Canis lupus familiaris: one gene and its partners. Each later gene encodes a partner of the first gene's protein in a complex. Links are inferred from orthologs where the notes say so. Each region holds a gene or a part of one and is shown in the gene's direction. Other genes may lie near its edges.

Region 1 (4,142 bases):
ATTATTACTATTGTTGTTACAGCTACTATGTGGCGCAGCAGGCAGTGCCTGCCTGGGATGCTGTGAAGTGTTTTGGCTCGCCACTATGCCCCAGCGCCTGGCACAGTGCCTGGCACCCAGGAGACACTCAGGGAAACGTTTGTGGAACGAATGCCTATCGTGTGAGGAAGGGAGAGCAGCCTGCTGCCTTTGCTTCTTAGCTCAGCCTTTGCCCTTCTTCCCAAGGCCAAACAGCTTGCACGCAGCTCGAGAGCCCAGGCGCTCCCTGGCAGGGGGCAGCAGCCCACCTCCTCCCAGACGCGGCTGTCGGGGCTGCTGGAGGGCGCCCCGCCTGGACGCGCACCGCGGGCGCGAGCGGCTCTCCCCGAAGCCCTGATTTTTCTGGCTGGCGCTTTATTGACTTAAGCATTTTCAGCTCCGGGGAGCAAAGGGGCTGCTAGAAGCGGGGTCAGGACCTAGGTCGCGGTTTGTATTTGTTGCGTGCCTCGCGATCTCCGCGCCCGCGAGTCCCGCACCGCGCGGCTCCCTTATTTGCGCACCTGGGGGGGGGGGGGGGGCTCGCGTTCGTCCACCTCCTGCGGCCCGAGGAAGGGCACCAGCAGCTCGGGGGCTCGCAAGCCGCTTGCCCGTGTCCCCGCCTGCGCGGACCGTCGCTCCCACAGTTAGTTTTCTGTGCAAAAACCCGAGCAGGGCGGAGCAGATTAAATAAAGACAACCTCGCGCCTTTAATCCTTGACCGCAAACACTGGCGTTTCTGTGCCCTGGATTTCTGAAATTCTTGGCTCAGGAACTCGAGGCGCGGGGAGCGGAGGAGGAGGGTGGGTAGCAGCTCGTAAAAACTTCCCAAAGCAGAAACCCGAGCTGCTCCCCGCCCCCCTCTGCCTGAGCTACCTGGATTCCAGGGTAGGGGGCAGCTGGAAGAGGAGCGTCCCCAAGGGCCGGGGCGCCCCCCAGGGGTGGCTTCGAGCCGCCGGCTCCCAGCCCCGCCGGCGCTCCGCCAGCAGCCGGATTCGAAGCCCCGACGCCCCGCAGGACGCCCCTCCCTGTCCCCGCGCGTTTCTATTTAGAGCCCAGCCCGGAGCCCAGGGGATTCTGGGACTCGTAGTCCTTCCCCCTAGCCCCAGGCGCCGCCACGACCCCGGGCTCGGACTACATTGCCCAGGGAGCGTCCCGGCCTATATAAGCAGTCAGGCGCCGCTTCAAAGTGCAGTAACCATGTGGATGTTCTGCTGAAGCGTTTCCTCAAGCTCGCTGGGGTGGGAGGAGAGGAGGAGGTGGTGGTGGAGGAGGAGGAGGCAGAGGGTGGAGAGAGAGAGAGAGAGAGAGAAAGCGCACGCACAGAGGAGGTGTGGGTGTTCCGTTTCCATCCTAACGGAACGAGCTCCCTCTTCGCGGACATGGGATTACCCAGCGGCTGCTAACCCCTCTCCTCGCCCTGCTCCCCCAAACCGGCGTGGCTCCCGGGCACCAAGGTAGCGGCTGGGGCCGGGCAGAGGGCGCGGGGAGTTGGCACTGCCCTCCCCGGGCGCCCAAGTTTTTGCCCCGCTCTCCGGGAGTTCTTGATGGATTTGCATGCACTTGCATGCGTTTGGGGGTTCTTTAGCTGGGGGCATTTTTGGGGTGTTCGTTTGAGGCTGAACAAAAATCCTCGATTCCAGTGACTGGCCTTGAAGGCTACCCATTCTGGACTGGAATGGCATTCCCCCAAGTTGGAAACTGTTGCAGCAGCTGCAGGAAATGGTGTTTTCTTGGTGTGTGTGTGTGTGTGTGTTGGGGGGTGTCATATGTGAGTCCGCTCAAGGAAACAATCTTTTAAAAGTAGCCCTCCCTCGAGCTGCACGGTTGGGAGAAAAATGCATGGCGGGGAGGGCGGGGGGGAGGGAGCAGTGGGGAGGGTTTTTAAAAAACGGAAGACAAGCCGGGGAGCGGTGAGGGATGAAGTGTGGACGGAGCTCACGGCCAGTGAGGATGCGGGCTTCGGAACTTGGCCTAGGCTCTGGGAAACAAGTGCTTTGGGATTTGCACGTTCCAAGTTTTTGCGTGCCTAGTCTCACTTGTCAGTTACATACTGGGAATAAGTAAGCAAAGTTACCTGTAATCTTTGTCCAACTGATCCCTCCAAGCTTTCCTGTCTTGTTTGGGGGAAGGGCAGGGGTGTCTCTCCAGGAAGAAGGCTAAAGAAGGTGGCAGTTTGCAATTTGAAACATTGCTCTTAGTGGCCCGCCTTCCTGGTCTTATACTTAAGTTTTCTTTCTTTCTAAATACTTAGGAGCTGGCTTCGGAGGAGCAGGATTCGCACAGCTGGAGTGTTTTGGCAACAGAGTGCCTGACCTCGGTCAGGTGAGTGTGAAGCCTGAGTGCTGGAGTCAGTAATGACTTTTTGTTTTAAGTGTATTTTATGTCCTCTCTAAAGAGCCATGGAGATTAGGAGCAGAAAAGAAAAGCAAACTCCAAGGCTTAGTGTCCAAAATTTGTCACTGCTTTCTGTGAGAGCTTTAGGGAGCATTTGAGATCCAGAGGGCAGTCCTGCCTAGCTAGCACTTTTGGCCCAGGCTCAGACTTAAAGCAGCCTGAACATTTATGAGAGGAGGGGGGAAAACCCATTAGATGGAGCGATAAAAGAAATGCCCATTGGTGCCTGGCAGTGTGCTGATGATTTAAATTCAGAAGGATGCAGTACATTTCATCTGTCAAGATACGTAAGCAAAAATTAACTGCCTCTTTCAAAAATAGTCACTTTTTTCTTGCTGTAATGTGTGTTTAATCAGAGTAGGTTCGATTGCAAGAAATGAAAGTGGTTGCTGGCAATTTGAAAGAATTAGTACTTTAAAAAGGGAAGTTCTTGAAGTGTGAGAGAGTGGCATCCAGTCCTTGACTTGAAGCTGCCTGAATGTCAAGGAATCTGATGAGTCCCTCTTGTTTGGGTGCTTATTGTGGGATATGAGTTGAGGGTAGCATTTATTTGTAAAGACAAGCAGCTCCTGTCATTCCGCCCCCACCCCCCCCAAATGATCAGACTCTGCACCATAAGAAAGGGAGGTTTTAACAGCTGCATATATATCCCCATTGCTGCAGATTTGGCCGTCACAAGTTTTTTCTTCCAAAAAGGCCAGGAGGAACAGGGTAGACAACAGAATAACATGGTGGAGGACCAGCTCTTTGTAACTTCTTTAACCTTCTAAATATTTAGCTGTTCCCTGGGTTACAATCTTTGGGCTTTTTAAATTAGAAAATAAAAGGCAGACACTTCATTATAGTAGTATAGTGCTTTTGTTTCCTGTTGATAAGATCCGTAGGAGTGCTGGTGGAGTGGGAACCATTTGGATGTGTGGGGTATAGTTCATTCTTGGAATTCTGTTGACTTTCAAGGCTACCTGGGCACTCAAAAGGCCAAGGAAAGGGTTAAGTTCCCCTTTTTTGAGTAAGCTACAGACCAGGAGAAACTGATCCATAGACTCTTCTCCAACTTGTTGCTAAAAATAATACTGACACATTAAATCCTTGTAAGCCTGGTCCAGAGCCAGATATCACAGAAACCGTGAGTCAGGTATAGGTGAAGAAGCTGAGGAGTAGAGAGAATGGGAACACTTGTGTAGTAGCCAGTGCACAGTGGAAGCAAGGAATATAACGCCAGGTTGTGGGACTGTCCTGTGTTCCACAGACACATTTAAGTTGGGAAGAAGTGAAGGGAGAAGCCAGGAAAAATGATAAACTTATTTCGGTTAATGACATAAATCTTACTTATGTCCCACCAGTGGTGAATGGGTAATAATACTTACCTTGACTTAAGGGAAACGATGTGGCTGTAGATGGAGGGATAAGAGTGTGGCTATTTGAGGAGGTATCAGATGTCATACTGATTTTGTTTTAGAAAGTTGTAAAAGCTGTATGCTGAAACCCTGAATGAGGAGAGTAAACGAAATCAAACCACACCACGAGGAACATTGTCTAAGTTCAGCACTGGGTTCATGTCATAACTGAAATCCATCTTGATCATCTACATCAAGGCATCTGAGCAGGTTAAAAGAATCCGGTATTTCTCAGTCTGAATAATTTGATGGCTTAAGTTGCAGTGAGTCTAAACTGTGAAGTATCGGTATCTTTTCATATACTCTTCAGTTTGGTTTGTGGCCAGTTGTGCA
Region 2 (3,650 bases), on another chromosome or scaffold:
ATGTTTTGTATGCTGCAGGGCTATCTTGGACTGAAAATACATCGCTTGTAAAAACCACAAAAGTCCTGTTTAACAAATGATCCTTTTTTCTCTAAGAGAATATAAATTCAAATATATGTATCTAAATTTTAGAAAAATGTTAAACTGATTACAAATGAGGAAGAACAGCATAGTGGATCTTTTGTGAAGTAGAAATCAAAACTGGCAAGGCTAGTGGAAGAGAATAAATGAAATATTCAACTTCGTATCACATCAAAATTCTTAAGTTCTACTGTGATCTAGAGTTGTATATTTATACATTTTTAAAGTGATTTAAAACTGACGACTGGCTAATGAATGACACATTAAAACATTTAAAAAGTACTTGTCATAGAGAATAGGGACCACACCTCAAGGCAATAACAACCATCACAGCCTTCAGAAAATCACCTCTGCTCCTCCCTGTTGTAAGCAACTCATCGTTTGCACCTTGCTCCTTAAAAGGAACTAATTTGAACTGCTATTAAGGAACGTGGTGGGCAAAAATAATAATCCGCACCATGTTTCCCCAAAGAGACATGAACTCGGTATTAGAATAATTAGGATAATTTCCAAAGAAAGTATTTGTCCAGGTTGTATCACTTTGCTGGAAGGTGCAGTCTTGATCATCTCCGTGTCCCCTGACCCTGGCACAAGGCCACCCTCCAGGGATGGATCTGGCTCCTGGGGGCCTGGCTATGACATCCTTCCCAATAAGGAGGAAGCCTCACGTCAGGTTACCTACTGAGGACTGATGACCAGGGAGGAAGGGGCAGGAGGAGGACTGTTCTGCAGAAACACTCCATCATCAGGTGCAACTCTTGACCTCGGAGTTGTGAGTTCAAACCCCACGTTGGGTGCAGAGATTGCATTAAGAAAATAAAATCCTTAAAAATAATAATAATGCACCAATCTAGTCTAATACTTGAATTTACACTTGATGTTGGTTGGTGGAGGTCATGGGATCAGTTCCATGACCAGAAATGGTGTCCCAATCCCAGTGGGCCTGGGTAGGGTTGGCAGGAGATGGATCCTTATCATGGAAGTCCTTGGAGCGCTCTAGTGAGTTTGGAATTCATCTCAGGTGTAATCAGTGAACTGACAATTACAAGGAAAGGGCCAGAAAGTAGAAGCAGCATCTTGCATGGCCAAAGACAGCGAGGGGAGTTCGGCCCCTGCACTAGAAAGACAAGAGGAGAACACAAACTTGACCCCCCCACCCCGTGGGGTTTTGCTAAGCGATTGACGTGAAAAGGTTTCCATGCCGTTTTCCTATGAATCTCGTATCGTTCCGTTACCACTACCAACAGTTGTCCCCAGATAAGAACCGATGTCGTCTGTGGGGTTATAAACAATTTAAGATTTCTTATTTAGAAAACAAAAAGTGGGGATCCCTTGCATGGCTCAGTGGTTCAGCGCTTGCCTTCGGCCCAGGGCGTGAGGCCTGGAGTCCCGGGATCGAGTCCCACGTCGGGCTCCCTGCATGGAGCCTGCTTCTCCCTCTGCCTGGGTCTCTGCCCACCCTCCTCTCTCTATGTCTATCATGAATAAATAAATAAAATCTTAAAAAAATAAAAAAGAAGACAAAAAGTGATTCTCTTTTCACGTCTCATTCTCGCAGCCCACCTTTCTCAGGCCCAGATCCTATGAAAACCTATAACATCATACTGAGGGGGATTGACATGATAGAATTTCCAAAGAAGATTGCCAAAAATGCTGCTAACTTAATTAAAAAACTCTGCAGGTAAGCATTTCAACCTCGTGATTTGTGAAAGGCTCATAATGCGAAAGTGATGAGATTCCTCACAGTTCTTATTGTCTTTCCAGGGATAACCCATCAGAAAGATTAGGGAATTTGAAAAACGGCGTGAAAGACATTCAGAAGCACAAGTGAGTGTTCTTTCCTTGTCCCTTTCCGTTGGAGGGTCCAGAAAGCACGGACAGGCGCCCCAGGCTGTGTGATGGGTAGACTCGGCCTACCTACTGGAACATCCAAGGGGACGCCAGACCTTTGATCGGAAGCCCTTCTGCTTGTGTGTCAGGGACGTCACATGACCCTAAGCCATACCAAGTGACCAATTCACTGAATTCAGTTTCTCCAAACTCACCCTAATGGCACATCTCCTCTCTGGCATGAACAGGAAATGTGTACTTTTAATTCTGGGATTCTATTCTCTGCCAGGATATCAAAAACAAAGGACCCCCACCATCGCATGCCTCATTTCCCAGACTAAAACTGGAATTGACTTTTCCAACCACTTCCTAATTAGATGATAAAGGGAAAAAAGAAATATAGGGTACAGTGGGTTTTTTTTTTTTTTTTTCCTCAAACCGTAGCAGCATCTTAAATATTAAACCTTACTTAGTCAACTGGAGAGTCAAAGGCTAAACCTAAAACCAAATTAGGTTTTTTTAATTAGCCTGTGTTTATAACAGTCACAGAAAATGCACATCCCTACCAGAAGAACGTATTTATCGAACTATTTATAAATACCCTGAAACACCTGCTTAAGAATTTGGTGCTAGCATTTGCTAAAGACAAAACAAAACGAAACACTTTAGTGTTATTGGGTCCTCATTTTTGCAGATAAACTACACCAAGTACCGTAAGTCTATTTTAATTAAACGTGTTGACATCCTATTAGGGATTATGATGACCCTAATACTGCATATTTAACGTTTTCTTCTATGAACACATCAAAAAAGTGCCAAGTCAGAGTTAGACCTAATACGGTGATATGGAAAGGTTAATTAACTGAAGCCGCTCACTGAATCGGTGCAAAACTAGAAGGGTAATTTTCTAGCCTGACTTTTCATGCCCTGATTCTACTGCCTTAAAATAAAAAAGTCCTATAAGACTCAGGGGCCAAGCTATCATGACACTTATTAAATTATAATGATACTGTAGGAACAAGGTCATACAGACATTCTTCCTGAAATTGCGAGGAAAGGAGTTATTTTCTAATGGGTGTTAAATATCTCAATAATTAACTTATTTTATGGGAATGCACATTTTTAAAAACCTAACCATAAAAATGTGCAATGAAATAGAATACACTCTTGTCTCATAGAAAATGTTTGCCTAGCGGCTTTCCTCCAGACATGTCCATCACCCATGTTGCGATGAGAAGGTTTTAGCTGATACGATGCCTTTAACTAGCTGCCTTTTTTTTTTCTTTTCTTTTCTTTCCTAGATGGTTTGAGGGCTTTAATTGGGAAGGCTTAAGAAAAGGCACCTTGACACCTCCTATAATACCAAGTGTAAGTAGACTTCCCAGTTTATACTCGTGTGATGCACATCATGGTGTTTATGTCAGTTGCTGAAGTTTCATCCTATGATCCCTTGAAATAAACTATAGGGGAAAGTACCACATTCGAATAGTGATACCAAAATCCAAGCTTAAAAAAACAGATCAATTAGGGGATGGTCGTTTTATGTGTGTTTTACCATTACCTTTCTAAACTATTTATTCTAATATCTTTTGCGTGTGAATAAGAGTGGACCTTTAGTAGAGTAAGTGTTAAATATACATTGATGTAGACAGAAGAGCATAAGGAGGGTCCAACAACCAGTTTCTTTGTTCTCATAATACATAAACTTCACATGTCATTGCCCAAGAATACATGAACAA
Region 3 (2,790 bases), about 37 Mb from region 1:
CAGGGGGCTTTGGCTGAGCTGGAGGTGGTAGGAAATGGCAAAAATTGACCAGTAGCTGTCATCCTGACCCCTCTTCCCCTGGGGTTGGGCGTGGGTGCTGAGGGGAGCTCACCTTTCCCATTGCCCTCCCCGACGCCTTATAGGTTCATCAATAAGCTCCAGCCAGGCTCCGTGAAGAAGGTCAACGAGTCGACCCAAAATTGGCACCAGGTGAGCCCAGACATCCTTTTTAACTCTTCCCACCCCCACCTCGCGCCCCCTCTGCTACCCCCCCCCCGCCCCGCTAACTTCTGCCTGCCCCCTCCAGCTGGAAAACATCGGCAATTTCATCAAGGCCATCACCAAGTATGGGGTGAAGCCCCATGACATTTTTGAGGCCAACGACCTGTTTGAGAACACCAACCACACCCAGGTGCAGTCCACCCTCCTGGCCCTGGCCAGCATGGTAAGTGTGGCTTGGAGGGGGGTCTGGCGCAGGGGTGCGGGGCTGTGGACAGTCTGAGCTGCGAGTGGGGCCACTTGTGCCCCCCGAGTCCGGTGGAGGTGGCAGGGGGAGAGCAGGTGCCAGGAGGGGACAGTGTGGCCTGGAGGTTCTCTAGTCGAGTCCCTGCTCCCTTCGCCCTCCCCAGGCCAAGACGAAAGGGAACAAGGTGAATGTGGGGGTGAAGTACGCAGAGAAGCAGGAAAGGAAATTTGAGCCCGAGAAGCTAAGAGAAGGACGGAACATCATCGGGCTGCAGGTACTGGCCCCTTCCTCACCTGGGTCCTGCCACTGTGCTGAGCGGGGAGGTCAAGGAGGCCAGGAGGGCACCCAGGTCCCTGCAGGCTTTGGGGCACAGGATATTTGGCTTTAACGCAGATGTATGCTGGGCACCGTGCCTGCCATTTTCGGTACACTAACTTACTTCTCCGACAGCTCTAAGGAGTGGGTGCTGTTATCCTTACACCCTTTACACCGATGAGGAAACAGGTACCCAGAGAAGCTAGGTCAGTTGCCAGGACTGTCTGGGTAATAAGTGGCGGGACTGGGACTTGAACCCTGGAAGTCAGGCCCTGGTGCTCTGAGCCACTTACAGCTCCTGTGACATGCCTTCTCTGGGCCTCAGCTTCTGGAGCCTGAGAGGGGAAGCAGCGCCTCGCTGGAGGGCCGAGCAAGTTTCTGCTGACATGTTATGTCTCATGGCCCGTGGTGAGGCTCTGCAAGCCTTGGGATGATTCTCCTTCTGGCTTCCTAGATGGGCACCAACAAATTTGCCAGCCAGCAGGGCATGACGGCCTATGGCACCCGGCGCCACCTCTATGACCCCAAGCTGGGCACGGACCAACCCCTGGACCAGGCCACCATCAGTCTGCAGATGGGTACCAACAAGGGAGCCAGCCAGGTGTGTGTGGGGACCTTGGGGGGCTGTTGGGGTGCCCCTGCCCTCCACTGTCCCCACAGCCTGACTGATCCACCCTCTACAGGCCGGCATGACTGCACCCGGGACCAAGCGACAGATCTTCGAGCCAGGGCTGGGCATGGAGCATTGTGACACACTCAACGTCAGCCTGCAGATGGGCAGCAACAAGGGGGCCTCACAGCGGGGCATGACAGTGTATGGGCTGCCGCGTCAGGTTTATGACCCCAAGTACTGCCTGACGCCTGAGTACCCAGAGCTGGGCGAGCCTGCCCACAACCACCACCCACACAACTACTATAACTCTGCCTAGGGCCCTGGGCACCCCCCCCCCCCCCGCCTTCCCCCCAGGGAGGCTGGCTGCTGCTCTTGGCAGGGCTGAGCTGGCCCTGCCGACCCCCTCCCCCTGCATGGCGTCCTCCAGCCCCCTGGCACCTGCCTACAGGGTTAGCATTCGGGGGGACAGACTGGGGGGCGTGTGGGGGGGCAGGGGGCCCTCCTCCCTGGAGCGCTGCAGGATCCACCATCGAGCCGGGTGTTCCCAACAGCACCCAAAGGACGCACTGAGCAAAGCTACCCCAGCTGTCCCCCCACTCCCTCACAGGTGGGTACCCCAGGACAAGAGGTCCCCCCCAAGCAGAACCCCCAGAGCCCAGGCTCGGCCTGCCCCCACCCCATTCCCACAGTGGGAGCAAACTGCATGCCCAGAGACCCAGCGGACACACGCGGTTTGGTTTGCAGCGACTGGCATATGTGGATGTGACAGCGGCGTTTGTTAACGCGAGCACTTTCTTTTTCTATTTCACTGGAGCACAATAAATGGCTGTAAAATCATTGTCTCAGGGCTGCTCTGTCCTGGAGCCTGGGTGGCTCTTGCACACGTGCAAACAGCCTTGCTTAGATACACTCCATCTCCCACATGCACATTGTCACAGGCACACACAAAAACTTATGAGATACACATATGGAGCTCACAGCCACCTGGCTGGACCCAGGACAGGAACTCACAAACAAAATCTGCACTCACGCATTACTTTTGTGTATATGGTATGTGCATACTCTGCAGCCTTAGGCACACATACATATTCCCCCTTCAGATATACACATACAATACGCACTCCCACTCAGGACACATCAACACACACCTTTGCACACATACGCAATATCGACACACACATGCTCAGCCCTCATGTGCCTTTCTGAGAAGCCTGTGGGTTGTGAAAAAGAGCCCAAGCACTGGGACAGGCTAGATGGGATCACGGTCCTGCTTCCCACTAGCTGGGTCACCTAGGGCAACTCACCCTCCCTAGGCCTGTTTTCCCCCTCAGGAAAATGAAGACAGGGAGCCTCCAGGGGACATGGGGAAGCTAAAAATGAAACCATGCCTCCAGAC

Evidence for each region.
Region 2: ITPR1 (region 1) and PRKG1 share a complex: the UniProt entries of both Homo sapiens proteins name them as parts of the cGMP kinase signaling complex. The link is inferred for Canis lupus familiaris from reciprocal best matches to the Homo sapiens genes ITPR1 and PRKG1.
Region 3: ITPR1 (region 1) and CNN1 share a complex: the UniProt entries of both Homo sapiens proteins name them as parts of the cGMP kinase signaling complex. The link is inferred for Canis lupus familiaris from reciprocal best matches to the Homo sapiens genes ITPR1 and CNN1.

What each region holds. Positions count from the first base shown.
Region 1 is NC_049241.1:13,137,900-13,142,041, reverse strand, and holds the start of ITPR1 (inositol 1,4,5-trisphosphate receptor type 1), read left to right. Parts: upstream 1-1,225; 5' UTR 1,226-1,472; intron 1,473-2,014; exon of another isoform or gene 2,015-2,078; intron 2,079-2,269; 5' UTR 2,270-2,340; intron 2,341-4,142. UniProt on the Homo sapiens protein: Inositol 1,4,5-trisphosphate-gated calcium channel that, upon inositol 1,4,5-trisphosphate binding, mediates calcium release from the endoplasmic reticulum (ER).
Region 2 is NC_049247.1:36,003,137-36,006,786, reverse strand, and holds part of PRKG1 (cGMP-dependent protein kinase 1), read left to right. Parts: intron 1-1,639; coding exon 1,640-1,762; intron 1,763-1,845; coding exon 1,846-1,908; intron 1,909-3,212; coding exon 3,213-3,279; intron 3,280-3,650. UniProt on the Homo sapiens protein: Serine/threonine protein kinase that acts as a key mediator of the nitric oxide (NO)/cGMP signaling pathway. GMP binding activates PRKG1, which phosphorylates serines and threonines on many cellular proteins.
Region 3 is NC_049241.1:50,228,047-50,230,836, reverse strand, and holds the end of CNN1 (calponin-1), read left to right. Parts: intron 1-143; coding exon 144-210; intron 211-307; coding exon 308-445; intron 446-629; coding exon 630-740; intron 741-1,235; coding exon 1,236-1,382; intron 1,383-1,464; coding exon 1,465-1,710; 3' UTR 1,711-2,233; downstream 2,234-2,790. UniProt on the Homo sapiens protein: Thin filament-associated protein that is implicated in the regulation and modulation of smooth muscle contraction. It is capable of binding to actin, calmodulin and tropomyosin. The interaction of calponin with actin inhibits the actomyosin Mg-ATPase activity.